Ovis aries: one gene and its partner. The protein of the gene in region 2 purifies or fractionates together with the protein of the main gene of each other region. This does not show direct contact. Links are inferred from orthologs where the notes say so. Each region holds a gene or a part of one and is shown on either strand. Other genes may lie near its edges.

Region 1 (4,190 bases), on a different chromosome or scaffold from region 2:
TAGACCTGTTTCTATCACCTTCATGGAAAAGTAAATGAGAAAGGGGTGATAATAAAATGATCAGTCTTGGGAAAAAGAATCATTTTTGCTTGTTGTTAATCATTGCAAAAGATAATATCCTATTCTCAATTTTCAAAAGTTCTATGTGTTATTATACTTCTTTGAAGAGAATATGAGTGGTTTTATCTAATCCCTAAATAGGAGGAACAATTTATACTAATATTATTTTATATGAAGTTACTACCGGGGAAGAAAACATTACAGACATGATGATCAGAAATGCTCAATGACTGAAATAAACCACACATTTCTGTGTTTAACTTGATAAATACATTTCTGCTTCAAAAAGTATTCTAGACTATTTGCTTGAGGGAGCTTTTAGAGCCAGTCCCAGTGAGGGTTCAGGAGAATAAAACTGCTGGCAACTAATCTTCTTTGGGATCCAACTTTAAGTTAAAAATCCTTAAAGGCCATCTATCTTTGGAGCAAGAAAACCATTTTTCTTAAAATCCTATCCTTCATTTTTAGCTTTATTCTTTATGGAGAAAATGCTAAAGAATACAAGGATTCAAAAAAGGAAGGCCTTTCCAAATGTGAGGTAGGACTGCAGCTTTAAGAACTTTTCACATCACATACTTCCAGTCTGGGCCAGATATTAGATAACGGGGGTGTTAGCAAATACTTGTGTCCAATTAGAACAGTGCTTGCATCATTACATATTCAATAAGAATGTAGCCTGTTGCAAAGCGTCTCCAGGAACACAAAGACTCCTATTCTTTCTGACCAGAGCCACCACACTTGCCAGAATGTCTGTATCTACATTCCATAGTGAAGTCCGTAGAAACCATTAATACCTTTCAGCCAAGGGGACAGATGGCTCCTTTTCATCCTTATTAGATCACAAATTAGTTGTGCATAGCGATACTTCTGTCTAACCTTGGGGCCACAATAGAACTTGCCGGCAAGAAAATAAAATTTCTGGCTCCACTAAGTTTCTTATCCTCCCATCCATTTCACATCTAAAACTACAGGGCAGAATTGTGCTTTTTGTGGCCTTGTAAAAGGTAGTCAACTTTGGCAAAACCGCAACCTAAATCAAACTGTAACTCTTCAAAATCAAAATATCAACGTGTTGCAAACACGAAACGGAAAAAAAAATGATTTCTTGGGAAAAGAATCTTGAAACAAATTAAAAAATGTTAAAGACCATGTCCTACGGAACGGTTTAATCATTCAAGGGCTTTTATCCAGAACTGCGGTCTCTCTGCCACTAGGGGGCTTGGCGCGCAGACGTGAAGTTTTGTATGATTCAGACTTGGGTTAAGAAACTTTTAGAATTGCTCGTGGGTTGGGCGGGAGGGTGGCGTCCCGTGGCTTCGAGTAGGAACGGAATCTACCAACCTGTCTGAAAGACTGCAGAGTGCTCTCGGCTTCCTCTCTCTGAAGCATCTCCTCCTGCAACCTGAAACAGTTTCAGATTAACCACAGGGGAACCGGGAAACCGCCAGGGGCGGGGCGACCACACCCAAACACCCAGTCGTGGCGCAGAGACCCAAGGGTTGCTGCGCCACCTCCGCGCTCAATTAGCGACCGCGGCTTAGACCTGCTGTCCTAGGCAAGTTTAAGCGGGACCTTGGCCTCTGCGTGGAAAAGCAATCACTGTCGCCACCCCGACCTGCGAGACGCCCGCCACCACCTCACCGCGGAGACTCTACAATCCCTTTGTCTCGCTCTCTCCACGGCCCGTTGGCTGGCAGCCAGCCAGAGGGGGACAGGAAACTTTCTCAAAGTTTGGGGAAATCGCGTTCATCCTTTTCTAGGGCCTTAGCAGCAGCAGCAGCAGCAGAGTACACAGTGGTAGTTTTTAAAAGTCTGCAACTTGAAACGTGCGTTCTTGGGCAATGAGTCGGGGTAGAGGGAAAATGCTAACTTGGAAGATTCTGGTTCAGGGCGGGGCCCGCACCGCTTAAGCCACAACCCTGCTCCCCCGCTGTCCCCCACCCCCACCCCCGGCAGCCGCCGCCCGGGCCACATCCCCAAGGGCGTGGCAGCTCCGGTATCCACTTCATCCCTCCCTCAGCCCCGCGTGGGCGCCGCCTTACTTCTCCCGGAGCCTCATGATGTCTTCGGCCAGGTTGTCGCGCTCCACCTCGACGCGGGCCTTGTCGTTGGTGAGCTGGTCCACCTGCCGGCGCAGCTCTCGCATCTCCTCCTCGTAGAGGTCCCCCAGGCGCGACTTGCCCTGTCCCTTGAGCTGCTCGAGCTCAGCCAGCAGGATCTTGTTCTGCTGCTCCAGGAAGCGCACCTTGTCGATGTAGTTGGCGAAGCGGTCATTGAGCTCCTGCAGCTCCACCTTCTCGTTGGTGCGGGTGTTCTTGAACTCGGTGTTGATGGCGTCGGCCAACGAGAAGTCCACCGAGTCCTGCAGCAGCCGCACGCCGGGCACGCCGCTCCGCAGGCGCACAGCCGAGGAGCGCGTGGCGTACACGCCACCCGGGGACGAGGTGTAGAGGGTGCGGCTGGTGGAGGGGCGCAGCGCACTGCCCAGGCTGTAGGTGCGGGTGGACGTGGTCACGTAGCTCCGGGTGGAGCTCGGCCGGCTCGCGGTGCCTGGGCCGCCGAACATCCTGCGGTAGGAGGACGAGGACACGGACCTGGTGGACATGGCTGCAGAGGGTGGCGGTGGACTGGGCGACTGCGGTAGCACGGACTGGCTCCGGGAGAAGAGGCGAGCGCGAGGGCGCGGTGGGTGTGGGCAGAGGGAGCGGTGCTGCGTCTCTGGCGCGGGGAGCCCGGAGCGAGAGTGGCAGAGGACCGGACCCCGCGCGGGGCGCAGTTTTTATAACCGCGTTAGGTAAGAGGGTTCCCTCCCACTGCCATCCCGGCGACGGAGTGCGCCAGCCAATGGGGAAGGCTGGGCGGGGGGTTGGGGCGGGGGCGCCCCGGAGCCGTCCTCCTCCCCCATCTTCCCCAACGGGGACTGAGCACAGCCCCGTTACTTCTTAGCTGGGCTGGGACTTTCAGGGGCTTTCCTGATGGTGGCCCGAGCTCTGCTCACCTCTGGGTGCTGATAAAGGAGGGGTCGCGCAGTGGTGCAGGGGGAACCCGCCAGGACTGGACCAGAGGGGTCCCGGGCTCCGCGCCAAAGAGCTGTAGGAGGAGGCGCGCGGGTGGGAGGGGCGCGCCGCAGCTGGGTTGCGCTTTACTGGGAGAGAGAGGATGCGGAGCCCCGCGGGCCAAGAAGCAGGAGGAGGGGGAGTGCAGGATCCCGCAGAACTGGAGGCGTGGAGAAAGAAACAAAGAGGGCCTGAGATTAGAGCGCGAGGTGGGGGCGCGCACAGCTCTGGACGCAGGGCTTGGGCCCCGCGCAGGAGTGTGTGCACAGCCCGCTTCGAAAGAGGATCTGATGCGGACCCCGTCTCTCTTCGTCCTCTTGTCTTGGGAATTCCTGTTCAGGGACCTAACGGACTGGGTCCCCTTTGGACGGTGCGCGCTTCGAGGCGGCGGCCGAGGAAAGCCTGGGGGAGAAGGGTGGGGTCGCTGAGTCACTGGCACTGAGTCACTGCACCCGGCTGTCCCGCCGAAGGCTCCTAGCGGTACAGGGAAACCGTTAGACGAGATTGACTCCAGCCTCCCCGGGCCTGCGCGCACAGTTTGTCGAAGTTTAACACAACTTCGAGCTGGGCCTCAGCTTTCTCGTGGGCAGTTCGCCTGCGTGAAGACTAGCGCGCGCCTGAGTTCTTAAGAACCCGACAAAGCCAGATTTTGCTCCGATATGCAGGCTTCTCTGTAGTAAGAAACTTCTGCACACATTCTATAAGCGCCGAACGCGGGTCTGGGGCATCACAAATGCACTCCGGGGAGGTTCTTGCCAAGTTCCCCCTCACTCTTCTCCCTGGTCCCCTCTCGGCCTCCCCCTCCCCCCATAAAACCACACCCGACTTTTAACAGGATCTGGAAGTTTGGGGTGAAGGAGGAAGCTCTGCGTCCGCAGCTGCACAATCAAATTGATCTCTGGTTTTTCTGCTGTTGCGGAAGTCATTCAAGGTATAAACCTGCGCTAATTATAAGAATGAATTAGGTGATACTTTAAATGTTTAATTTGGTGAATGAAAGGCAGTTAGTTGATTAAATGATTAGTTAGAAAGGCAGCTAGTTAGCCTCAGATGATAGAATGTTTGCAGGGACTG
Region 2 (3,569 bases):
GAGTGAAAAAGCTACCTTAAAACTCAACATTCAGAACTAAGATCATGGCATCTGGTTCCATCACTTCATGCAAACAGAGGGGAAACAATGGAAACCGTGACAGGCTTTATTTTCTTGGGCTTCAAAATCACTGCAGATGGTGACTGCAGCTATGCAATTAAAAGACGCTTGCTTCTTGGAAGAACAGCTATGACAAACCCAGAGAGGATATTAAAAAGCAGAGATATTACTTTGCCAACAAATGTCCATATAGTCAAAGCTATGGTTTTTCCAGTAGTCGTATGAATGTGAGAGTTGGACCATAAAGAAGGCTGAACACCGAAGAATTGATGCTTTTGAACTGTGGTGTTGGAGAGGACTCGTTAGAGTCCCTTGGACTGCAAGGAGATCCAGCCAGTCAATCTTAAAGGAAATCAATCCTGAATATTCACTGGAAGGACTGATGCTGAAGCTCCAATACTTTGGCCACCTGATGCGAAGAACTGACTCCTTAGAAAAGACCCTGATGCTGGGAAAGATTGAAGGTGGGAGGAGAAGGGGATGACAGAGGATGAGATGGTGGGATGGCATCACCGACTGGATGGAGTCTGAGTAAGCTCCTGGCGTTGGTGATGGACAGGGAGGCCTGGTGTGCTGCAGTCCATGGGGTCACAGAGTCGGACACGACTGAGCGACTGAGCAGCAACAAAAGCCACTCTCAGGACAGGCTGACCCAGGAACACAGGCCAGCAAGGCCTGGACAGCTGCCCACTCACCAGAGAGCTGAGTGGGACCAACAACACAGACACGGACATGCCTCCGGGAAGTCAAGGTCCCCTAGCCAAGAACTGGATAAAATCGGTGCATTATCAATTAGTTATCCAGAAAAGGATTCATGCAGACTTCCTTTAAAAGCCAGTTCCTCTAGAATTTAATTGCATATTGAATTATCTTAAATCTTTTTAGTTCAAAATTGACCACATGAGAATCCTCCTGTATTGCAAGGGACAGAAGTTTGATCCCTGGGTCAAGAAGATCCCCTGAAGAAGGGAAAGGCAACCCACTCCAGTATTCTTGCCTGGGAAATCCTATGGACAGAGGAGCCTGGTGGGCTACAGTCCAAGGGGTTGCAAAGAGTCAGACACGAGTTAGTGACTAAACAACAAGAACAAAACAATGACTCTCCTTTACAGAACCCCTAGGCAAGTAGCCACCCAGCTTTACTTGAATGCTTCCAATGATGGGGAGCTCACTGCCAAAGGCAGCTGGGCTGACATTCAAGCAGTACTTGCTGAAAATATTCTTACAATACAAAGACCAAAGCCCTCCATCTTGAAGGAGAGAGTGCTTATCTCTGTGTGCAGAGCTAAGACACAACTTAGAACATAAAAACCAGAAAAGACCCGAAGGCCCCTAAATGTCCTCAAACCTGAAGTCCAGACGGCCCCGAACAACTCAGAGCAGGGCGGGGCAGCTACCTGCGTCCAGTTCCACAAGGATGTTGTCGGACTTCAGGTCTCTGTGCGCGACGCCCTGCTGGACCAGGTGATCCACTGCTTCCAAGAGCTGCAGAGTCATCACAGTGGCCAGCCGGGGGCTTGGGGTGTTCCCGCGAAGGTACTGGCGCAGGGTACAGGGGTAGCTGGTGGAGAGCGCAACAGGGCCAGTTACCGCGCACCTAGCATCCCGAGCACCTTACTTCCTGTTAGGATGATGGCCTTTCTTCTGATTCCTTTTCTCCCTAAGTAGCCATTCTGTTTCTATCCACCATCCTGGAATTAGGAAGTAAGAGCTAGGGCCTCACACGTTAGAAGTTACAGGACAGCTACTTGTTTTCTTAAAACACTCACACAGCAATGCCAGGGGCACAGAGATGGAGGAAAGGAGAAGAGTCTATGTTTAAAAAAAAAAGGCAGGAGAAAGGTGAGCACAGAGGGGGCTACTAAGGTACTAAGGGCACTAGATGGGGAGTATGTCCTGACTGAGCATGCCCTTCTGTTTTCCTGGAAGGCTGTCCCAAAGGGAAACTGCGCTCCAGGGCAGACATATGCCCTCAGCCTGCCCTTGTCTCCCAAAGAGAGAGGGTCCTCTCGCCCGTGACCCCAGGCTCCTGGAGGCAGCGACCAGCTCCCACTCACTCCGGGTCCCGCCACTCACTTCTTCATGACAAGGAAGAGAGTCCGCCCGTGGCCCAGGCCTGCGGGGTGAAGACAGGGGGGCAGCACATCTGGGTAGTCGACCAGGGCTCCTGGCAGCAGCGGCACCGACGAGGTGAAGGCTCGCAAGACCCGGATGATGTTGGGATGCGGGGCCAGCTGCTTGGGACCTCCCTTGGGTCTTCTGTTTCAGCCGGGTGGGACAAACGTGAGGGAGCAGCAGATACGACACTTGGGATACAATAGTCTGAGGCCACAATCAACACTGACATTCATCTCCACCCATATCTACACCAAGTGTGTGCCAGGTGCAGAGTTGGGTGCTGGAAGGGAAACCCGCGATGACTCATCACATTGGTGACCCCACCATCCATCCACCGTCCATCCATCCCACGAGGTAGAGCATGGGGCCTGGAAGCGGGCTGCCGGGGGCTGAACCCCACGCCTGCCACTCCAAGTCCCTGGCCACACTGCTCAACGTCTCTTGGCTCAGTCTCAAATGAAAAGGGGAATAGAGTAGTACCATACCCTGTAAGGCGGTTAATAGGACCCGGAATCTCCCTGATCCGGCCCTAGCATAACACCTGGCATGAGCTCAGTCAGCCTCTGAGTGAACCGACACGGAGGCAGTGTGTAGAAGTGATTCCCCCGCGCGTCAGGTGCCCTGCCCAGGCCTCTGCTGCTCCGGGAGCCCCACCCCACTGCCCTGCTCAGAAACAGAGGCTGCACTCGGCCGCCATGCCCGGGGCTGTGCGCACCTGACCCAAGGGCAACCAAGGGCCTGCAGTCATGTCCGAGACCCGGTGGTTGGCAGGAAAAAGGGAGAGTCTCTCTGTGGAGTGTGAGGAAAAATTCAGCAGTAACTGCACAGGAAAGGGGGCCGAGGTGTTGAAAGGATGCTTTAACGCCGCTTGAGCTCCTCTCTGAACAGTGCCTGATGCACATCTCCTGAGCTGTTTTACAGATGTAAAAACCCCCACCAAATGAAGATGCTAACCACCTGATGGTCATAAGCAGGTAGCCCGCAGACCTCCCGGAGCCTGAGGACTGAAGCTGTTAACCACTGCGACACTGCCCTGTCACCTCACCAACTACCAGGGATGTGTACATGAGCCAATCACATACCCTGGGGCCCCCCCCTCCCTTACGCGCTCTTTAAAAATGCTTTGCTGAAACTCTTTGGGGAATTTGATGTTTGGGGGCCATGAGCCACCTGTCGCCTTCCATGGTCCTGCAATAAACCTTTCTCTGTTCCAAACTCTGACATTTTGGTATCGTTTGGCCTCACTGTATGTCAGGCACAGGAGTTTGCTTTTGGTAACAATGCCACGAGGCCTGAGGGAAGCCGGAAGTATATCTGCGGGCAGGAAATGAGATAGCACGGTGGCAGAGAGAGGCGGATGGAGCGGAAGCCCAGAGACATCGAGATAACAG

The links. The genes of interacting proteins can lie anywhere in the genome.
Region 1: the proteins of PINK1 (region 2) and VIM purify together in Homo sapiens (affinity purification with mass spectrometry; 3 studies listed by BioGRID and IntAct, with this or other methods). This does not show direct contact. The link is inferred for Ovis aries from reciprocal best matches to the Homo sapiens genes PINK1 and VIM.

Annotation. Positions count from the first base shown.
Region 1 is NC_056066.1:31,054,748-31,058,937, reverse strand, and holds the start of VIM (vimentin), read right to left. Parts: upstream 2,813-4,190; 5' UTR 2,666-2,812; coding exon 2,103-2,665; intron 1,463-2,102; coding exon 1,402-1,462; intron 1-1,401. UniProt on the Homo sapiens protein: Vimentins are class-III intermediate filaments found in various non-epithelial cells, especially mesenchymal cells. Vimentin is attached to the nucleus, endoplasmic reticulum, and mitochondria, either laterally or terminally.
Region 2 is NC_056055.1:245,720,401-245,723,969, forward strand, and holds part of PINK1 (serine/threonine-protein kinase PINK1, mitochondrial), read right to left. Parts: intron 2,320-3,569; coding exon 2,137-2,319; intron 1,622-2,136; coding exon 1,458-1,621; intron 1-1,457. UniProt on the Homo sapiens protein: Serine/threonine-protein kinase which acts as a sensor of mitochondrial damage and protects against mitochondrial dysfunction during cellular stress.